2 separate regions of the Mus musculus genome follow, and region 2 is reported to be linked to region 1. Evidence: microRNA targets listed by miRTarBase, many of them from high-throughput screens and not tested one by one. Region 1 holds a microRNA gene; the other region holds the end of a gene's coding sequence.
What was found. Region 1 holds the annotated microRNA mmu-miR-339-3p (UGAGCGCCUCGGCGACAGAGCCG, at 1,529-1,551, shown strand). A microRNA usually pairs through its seed, bases 2 to 8, with sites in the 3' UTR of a target mRNA and lowers its output. Matches are read on the target gene's strand: a 7mer-m8 pairs with bases 2 to 8, a 7mer-A1 pairs with bases 2 to 7 and ends in A, and an 8mer does both.

Region 2: the mRNA of Rbms2 is a reported target of mmu-miR-339-3p. Seed matches in the 3' UTR shown: 8mer at 2,771-2,778.

What each region holds. Positions count from the first base shown.
Region 1 is chr5:139,366,841-139,371,223 of GRCm38, reverse strand. It overlaps Mir339 (microRNA 339), which reads left to right and starts at 1,479; the gene lies at 1,479-1,574. All of the region lies in intron 2 of 3110082I17Rik (RIKEN cDNA 3110082I17 gene), which reads left to right.
Region 2 is chr10:128,129,990-128,134,372 of GRCm38, forward strand. Rbms2 (RNA binding motif, single stranded interacting protein 2) reads right to left here. Exons shown (of 13, transcript NM_019711.2): 11 at 4,139-4,219; 12 at 3,652-3,736; 13 at 1-3,378. The coding sequence ends at 3,656. Among named protein-coding and RNA genes, the nearest start is that of Gm51821, 6.6 kb to the left of the region's middle.

The DNA of each region.
Region 1 (4,383 bases):
TAGGGAGTCACTTACCCAGGTGAGCAGAGACATCTGACCTTGCTTGCAGGGTGGTTGCTGGGCCCGTTGTAGCAGGAGAAATGGCCTTTCCTTGGCCACAGCAAGAAAGCTTCCATGACCTTAATGTCACTTGGGGGTCCACTAGGCAGTTTGGGATGTGTGAACACAGCTGCTCTACCAGAGGAAGCCAAAATCAAAAGCATTTTGATTACCGGCACACTCAAATAGAATTGGGAGTGGGGCACGTGGAAACCAGGCTAGAACAAGCATCCCTGGGTGGTGGGCATGCCGGGAAGCTCTAGAGAAGGGGATGTGGGTACCTGGCCCTGGCTAGAAAGAAGGCCTCCAGCTAGGGCGAAGGAGGCAGACTGCAGCTGAAATGAGACTGAGTCTCGCTCGGCTCAGGGACGCAGCGCAGGCTCTGCACAGTACACAGGTTCTTGTGTCAGCAGGCTTTTCCTGGCCTGGGAATGCTCAGTTATAGATGCAAGCCCCTCCCTCTCCTTCACTTCAGGGTCTCCTACTGCAGGGGTCTGATTAGAGACCTCCCCATCTCCCCCGCTGCAGGGCCCTCTTCCCTGCCTGTTGGCTGCTTTCTGCCATTTCTGAGTAGACCTAGGTGGGAGCTTGTTGTGTGTGTCGCCCTCACGCCCGTGATTCAGGTGGCAGGGGCTGACTCTGTCCTTGCTCTTGGACCAGGAGCTTCACTGATGGCCGAGTTGGGCTTCCCACTTAAACTTGTGCCAGAGCTGCTGGGACCAGTTCCTGTGATCTGCAGGCAAAGGGACGGAAGTTTTATCTTCTGGAGCCAGCCCCTCAGCCTAGTCAAGGAAATCTGCACCCTGTTCAAGCTCCTGGGGTCTGTCTGCTCCTGTGTTGGAACTGGGGACATGTGAGATAGCAGTGGGAGAGGTTAGACCTAGAAAACCCATGGGACCTTCATAACCTTGTTGGTGGGGCCAGTCAGCCTGAGTCAGGTGAGCTGAGGCCAGAGAGCCAAGAAAACCGATGTATAGTCGGGGACTCACAGCCTAGAGGCCTTGTGGTCTGTGCTGGAGTCTGTGAGAAAGTTAATTCTCTGGGCAGCCTGAGGTCAAGACTTAGGCTTTAGCCTGTGTTTAACCCCCAAGTAAGTGACACAGGGTGTTTCTGCCGTGACTGCAGAAGGACCTGTGGCCTGGACAGAGCCTGGGCTTGGTGGCGGTGACAACATCACCTCTGGGGATTCGTGTGTCCTGTGGCAGCTGGTGATGGCCCAGTCTCCTGTTTCTCAGGGATACATCAGATCTGCTGCTCACTTCCGCCATTCAGGTCACTGAGGAGGCAGGGTGCCGCATCTGTCATCTTTGTCTTTTTCAAGCATGGGGCTTAAGTGACATTTTGTGCATTTGAAAAGTCATATCTAGAAGGGGATCCCTAGGTGGGTGTGACCCTTGCCTTGGCACCAAGGTGGTGAGAGCACAGCTGTGCAGAGCTGGACGGGGTGGCCACTATCCCTGTCCTCCAGGAGCTCACGTATGCCTGCCTGTGAGCGCCTCGGCGACAGAGCCGGTGTCCACCCCTGCACTGTCCACAGACCCTTGCCTGCAGACCAGGGTGCTCAGTCGCTGGCTGTTCATGCTGTACCTTCTTGAACTCGATTGTGCAGATCTGCAGGTTGTTCCGTGGATGGAGGGGACTCTGGTTTCTCTGTGCGGTGACGCAAGGCACTGACCCCTCTGGGGTCCTAATCATCTTAACCTACGCAGACACTGAGGGGGAGGGGAGAGGAGCCAGGAGGGAGCCTTCCAGGTCTCTCCCTCTGTGTGTGTCCTCTGTAGCACCAGTTGATTCTACTGCGTGTGACCTATGTCCTGGCAGTTGGTGTCCCTGGGTCACTTCTACATCCACTGTGTTTCAGTAATTACCTCCAAATAAAAAGCTTCCTTTAAAACAAACTCTCTCCCCTCTCTTCATTATGTTGTTGTGCTTTTGCTTTGTCTTCTGGAAATCTTGCTACCGAGTGAGTGCATAGCCGGGCAGCAGTCTGCTGAGGTCTGTGAACCGGAATGGGCTCTCAAGGTCGAACACCTCTGTGGGACCCTGGACTCGGGCTGGCTCCAACTGAATGGAGGAGGGCTGATTCTGGGCTGGGGAATGAGAACAGAGTCCACTGGCCTTGGCACCCAGCTCGTCAGCCTCAGCAGGCTTCGTGGTCTCCCCCCACAAACATCGCTGTCACTTGTAGGCCATTCCCAATGTCTGGGGAACAGGTATAGGGGTGGTAGGGACCAGAGACCATGCCCCAGCCTTGGAGGCACCACCTGGGTATGTGATAGACAGGCCAGGTGCTGGGCTCCATCGACCATCTGCTGTGCCCTTGGGACTCTGTCCTGTGTGAAGCGGGTCAAATGACTGGATTCCCTGCCACTCAGCTGCGCCCCCAGTACAGCTGCTCTGGTCACATGATGGGGTGGGGACAACAGAGGGTCCTTCTACCCTCACCTGTGTTCATCCTTACACCTGACTCAGTCATTCCAAGAAAGAAGGTCCTACAGAGCTGTGTGTCTGGCACTGGCTACCAGGGCCTCTACTGCCAAGGTCTACAACTAACCTTTGAGGGGTTTTTGTTTATGTTTGAGACAGACTTGCTAAGCTCAAGCTAGCCTTGGACTTTCAATCCTCAGGACATATTCACCAACCTCCTCCACAATTCCAAGAACGTTTGAACAAGATGTTTTTGAGCCCAGTGGATGCTCAAAAACGCTGGGCATTGACTGCCTCCCCAGGACAGCACAAATCCCTATTAAGAGAATATCCCCAGTCATACTGCCCCAGCACAGGTGATGCCCTGGCCAGGGCCAGCAGCTCCTTCTAGCTGTGTGGAGAAGGAGAACATCTCTCTGCCCTGTGAACTTCATTGGGGAAGGACAGTGGGCCCTTGCCCTTCCTCCTACACAGAAGGCCTCTTTTACCCCCATGGGACCCAAGGGAGGGGCAGTGGTGGGGTGCTTGAAGCTGCGGTTTGCTGCAGCACCCACCTTTGTGTGCCTCCTCAGCGCCTGAGGCTTCAAAAACAGTAAGGTTCAACCAGGGCTTCCTGATTAAACCTGGGGAACAAACAAGAGAAGCAGGCCCACGCAGTTGCCCTGGTTCAAGGTTGGTCCTGGGTTTACACACAGCCTGGTGAGGGCAAGGGAGAAAGTGCCGCCTGGAGTCTTTGAGCTGGCAGAAAACACCCACTCACCAGGATGCCCCTGCTTACAGATGGTAGAGTTAAGCCTCCTCACCAGCAACAGGCACAAGCAGGCCAGACTCCCCTTACCAGTGTGGCTCAGAATGCCTGGCCAGGACTCTTCTCAACATCCAGAACTCAGGGAGCCTGAGGCAAGATTGCCCCTAAGGGGACGCTAGCTAGCCTGGGCTTTATAATTCCAGGTCAGCTTACCAGCTAACCTACACACACACACACACACACAGGCTGTGCCCTGTCATGGACACCAGGCAGTCTTGAATTTAGCTACCAAGGCTGTTGGGAGATGGTCCAGTTTTCTTCTCAATCTCCAGAGTCACCCAGCAAGCCTTGCCTGTTAGCATGGGACAGAGGCTGCCTGCTCCGCCAGCCCTGGATCAGTGCAAACCATGAGTGGTGATGGAGATGTGGGTGGAGGAACCCTCAGGGTGTGCCATTTGGGAGACTGCTGATGCTGCACTGGCCCCAAAGTGTCAGCCTTCCTTGGCTTTGGTAGGGACAGCAAAGAGCTGAGCCCACCATCCATACAAGGACCCTCCGTGGGTGCAGCATTCGCTCAGGCCAGTGTGCATGTTTTATATGCATGCCTGAATGAGCATTACATATGTACCCAGAGTTCAGAAGAGGACTTTGGGCCCTCTGGAGCTACAATTACAAATGATTGAGAGCTACCATGTGGGTGCTGAGAACCAAACCCAGGTCCTCTGTAAGAGCAACAAGTGCTCTAACCCACCGAGCCATCTCCACCCAGCATGTGTGTGCCACACCCTACCTCTCTTTTAAAAAAGAGCTGGAAAAGAGGGCAGCTCTAATCCCGGGACTCCAGAGGCTACAGAGACAGGAGAAGTGCCAGCCTGGGCCACGTACCAAGTTCCTCTTTGAAAACCAGGGGGCTGGAAAGATGGGGGTCTCAGTTTAGAGCACTTGTCCCTCTTCCAGAGGATCCAGTCTCAACACCAGTACCCATGTGACCAAACCATCCCGTTCTCCAATAACTCCAGTTTCAGGGGACCTGACACCCACTTCTGACATCAGAGGGTACCAGGCACACACATGCGTGTACATATATGTGGGCAGAACATCTATGCACATAAGTAAATATTTTAAAAAGTAACAACAACAACGACAAAAAAGAAACAGGAGGTGGAGAG
Region 2 (4,383 bases), not on the chromosome of region 1:
GCAGTAAAGGATGGTGGGAGGCAAGTAGGTGCTTGTGTGCCTTGAGTTGTCAGACTGAGGTAGTTGAGTAATGAGGACGAGGGAGTTTAGGGATTTGCTTGGACAGGAAATGCTTATTTTGAACATTCAGAGCGGTGGTCACAAGGGTGATGAGGGCATCACTGCCACATGGAGACCACCTCCGGGAGGTGCAGCAAAGAGTAGAGGAGACAAATTGGTTTTAGCTGCTGAGGGAAGGCTCCTGTAGACCCTGAATCTACTACTGGGATCAAAGGCACTTTTAAGAGGCAGGTTACCCAGAAGTAGAGCCACCGGCTTGCTCCGAATTGGTAAGAATTGGTCTAACAAGCATTGGTTGTATATACCTCTAGACTCACCTTATCCTCTGAATTCAGGTCTAGAAATGGCTGGGTGAGTTTGGGTCTACCACCTACTCAACTGTATTGCTCTTGGCGACAAAATGGGAGGTGCCCACTTGACCGGAAGGGCCAGGGACAAAAACAAACTAGTCCTTCCGAAACCCTCAGCAAATAACGCTTCACTTCCACCCCATTTTTTATTATTGAGCACTTGCCCTTTCCAAAGCCGTTTTGCTTCACAAGCTTGGTCCCTATCATTGTTCCCACATATTCCTAAGTAATAGCAGGACCTGTCTCCAAAAGTCCAGTCCATCTACAGTCTGACCCAATGAGATGGGATAGGCCTGGAGCCTAGTGAAGAGTCACACGAGGTCAGGTGTGAGCTCTAGTCCACTCTGATTGATTGGAAGCAAAACCACAATGTACTAAAATGAGTACAGGTGAGATATAGAGTGCAGAGCCATCTATCTGGCCTCCATGCAAACAGGACTCAGGAGACTGTTAGGAGCCTTGGGCAGGATGATGGAGAGGAGGCTTACAACTCATCCCTCATGGCTTGCATACTACTTCCTGTCTTCAGTCGCTACCTTTCTGAGTAATGAGCTAATGAGGAAAAGAGTGGATGGAAATCACTAAGCAGAAATTACACAGTGAGTGCCATTAACCACTATAAAAACAAAATTACAGGTTGCCCTCATTTCCCATGCTCACACCTGTTCAACCAGAAACACTAGAACCCTAACCAGTATACTCAAAAGAAAAACCTAAAAAGGTAATTTCAAATTTTAAAACTGTCAGTTATTCAAATTGCTTTAGAACTACAGAAAAAGGAACAATTTTTAATAGGCAGTGAAGGAGCAGCAGTGGCAGCAAGACTGTCAGCAGGGTTTCCACAGGACAGAGCTCTGAGTCTGTCACTGAGTGCTAGAGGGCTAGAGGTCGATAACTGGGTATGACCTTCCTGATGTTGGAAGCACCAATGAGAAAACTGGTCATTTTGTACTTTATGCTGTCCATTGTCCTCAGCCCCTTCCTCAGTCTAGAACGCACAGCAGCACAGTCAGGCCAGGATTCCCAATTCTGTAGTGTGCACAGCTGCTGAGCCAGTTTCTCACCATCACCATGCCCTGCCCTTCCTCTTTCACACTGACCTCTGGACACACTTCCCCATCTCCATTGCTTTGTCTACTGGAGGTGTACTTATGACGTGAAGGGATGTGATGTAACAAGTCACATTTTGTGCTGAAAGTCTTGCAGAAGGGAATAGTTAACGGCAGGCATGTTTACAAGTCCCTCCTGACCTTTGAGTGGCCAGGGAGCTGTGAGTCTTGCCTTTTTCTATCCTAGCACCCCGTCGTCCTTCCACAAGAAGGAAAATTATTTCTGGTGGTCTGGTTCCCTGGGGAAGGGGTCCAAACACCAGGGCTGGGCTGGGTATGCTGCATAGAGAAAGCTCAGTCCATTCTCAAGCATGCACAGTATACACAACAGTTCTTGCTTTCATCCCTTCAAACTGTGTGCACTTGGCATGTACATACAACCAAGGGTGAGCCCTGCTAAATAAGATGGCTCCTGCTGAATTAAGTGATTCAGCCAAGTACCACTTGAGTACAGCCATGTGCAGCTGGGATGAGAGGCTGTGAGAACCCAGGCAGAAAAGATCCTCCAGGAGGCAAAGTCACAGATGTCACTGCTGGCCAAGTACATGAACTAACAGGCTCCATGTCCAAGGCTGGACTGGGGTTTAGTCTACACCAAATAACTGCCAGGGAATAAGGGGTGGAGGAGTGGGGCCAGGTTCTGTCAGGTGTTCAGGACCAGCACACATGATACTCCCCAGGCTTGGTAATCAAGGATGATGATGGACAAGACAGCAGCCTCTCGGGGACAAAACAACCTCCTGGTAAAGTGGAAGGCAGAACTTGCTCAGCAGGGGCAGGGGCTGTGAGACCTGGGGCAGGATGAAGACCCAAGACCCTCCAGGAGGCAGAGCAGGTATCCAGGATGCTGAAGCTGGATGCCACTTCTCAGTGGCACTTGCCACCAGAGTTGGTTGAAGGTGGTTTCCAAAGGCTGCATGGTTGTCACATGTCTGCTTCCTGAAGTCAAAGTCTAACCCCTCCTAGGCCAGGAGGGCAGAGGGAAAGCAACCTCTACTGCCACACTTCTCTACCTGTGCGTTGCTCTCCCTTCCCCCAATTCCACATGAAATTTAAATCAAATTCATAAAATTAAAAATTGTAAAAAGGCAAAGTAGGCAGGCTAAGCTAAATGGAAAAGAAAAAAAGACCATTGTGGAGAAGTTTTAAAAAACAACTAGCCGGGCGGTGGTGGCGCACGCCTTTAATCCCAGCACTTGGGAGGCAGAGGCAGGTGGATTTCTAAGTTCGAGGCTAGCTTGGTCTACAAAGTGAGCGCCAGGACAGCCAGGGCTACACAGAGAAACCCTGTCTTGAAAAAAAAAAAACCAAAAAAAAAAAAACAACTAGCTAGGCATGGCGGTGCACTCAGACAGAGTGGGAAGGATCGCTGAGTTCAAAGCCAGCCTGGTCTACATTGTCAGCCAGCCAGGACTGCACTGTGAGACCCTGCCTTAAACAGTGCGTGGGAGGGAGGTGGGTGGGTGTGTGCAAAGTGTGTGTTGAGAGCTTTGCAAAACAAAAGTTTTAAGCCTGCATATCTAAAACACACATTGAAAATAGTCCCTAACTGAACCTGGCAAGCAGCGCCCCTTCACTGACTTCACAGCACTGCGATTGTTCTTAAACCATTTTAAAAGCCCAACATACCCAAACCTCTCGAAGATGAGAAGCACCTCAACTGGTGTCTTTGGGGTAGGAGAAAGGTTCGCTGCAATTAAATACAAAGCAAGAAACTTCTTTTGCAAAAGAAAAAAAAGTCTTTTTGATCTTGAATGTAGCACATTCAAAAAAAAAAACCAACGTGATTCCTCAGGTTCCATCAGCCACAGGAAGGAGCCCAAGGAGGACTGCATAGGCTTCTCTCCCCAGGTCTGGACCTGTGAGGGAATGACAGCCAGGTGTTAGTGCTCAGCAGGCTACAGCTAGGCTTGTAACTTGCTAAACCTTCTGGAGTCTGTGAGCATCTCCAAGAGTTCCTTTCTGTTTAACAAAGATGGGGGGAAAGAATCCTAAAGGAGGCATTAGCTGGAGACGATACGAAGAGGACACGACTATTAATTAACCTGTCTGGCTATTGGCAGAACAAAGCTGCAAGCACCATCTTCCAGTTCAGCATAGCATAGCAGCATTCCCCACCATAAAGTTCTTACCTCATTATTTGCTGAACTGGAAAGGATAGACCCCGTGGTCTGAGGGGGGCTCCACTGCCAGTTGATTCTGCTGGCCATTGCTCTCCTGTATCACAGCCAAGGAAAGTTACTGAAGCATTCCTACACGCACCTCCCACTAAAGCCTCCCCAATTCAGCCACACACACACACACCGCCCCCAACGCATGTGTGCATCCAACATCCAGACTGCCAGAAAGCGGGCAAAGTGGTCCAGCTACCTTGGAAAATACTTCAGCATTTGCTCATTTTCAGAGTATTGAGGCAGCTGAAGTCAGCATCCCTGTCTAAATTGAACAGAGCAGGCTGGCTAAACACCAATGAAGCCGCCTCCTGCTCTCCTCACAACCACCAGTGAGGATGCCGGCGGTAGGCAGTACCGAGAGAGGAGTACACAGTTCAGAGATCTGCCCTTGATGTGTCCTGGCCTCACTGCAAAACAAAACAAAACGAACCGAAAAAGCTCCTACCTCAGCAGAAACACTGGAAGAAGGCACAGCTGGGTACTGGGAGATGTAAGCCCCATGCATAGCAGCAGCTGCCGGCATGAACTACAAAAACAAAAACAATGGTTCTCAGCTAGTTTAAAGCCCTCAGGAGCTTCAGAAAACACAGAGACCTTTATTGTTGTGGGTGCTTCTTTAAAATGTCCCTGGAGTGCCCGAGGATGCCAGCTAGAGACACGTTGATGTCCCTCCCTCACTGCGTTCCCTCT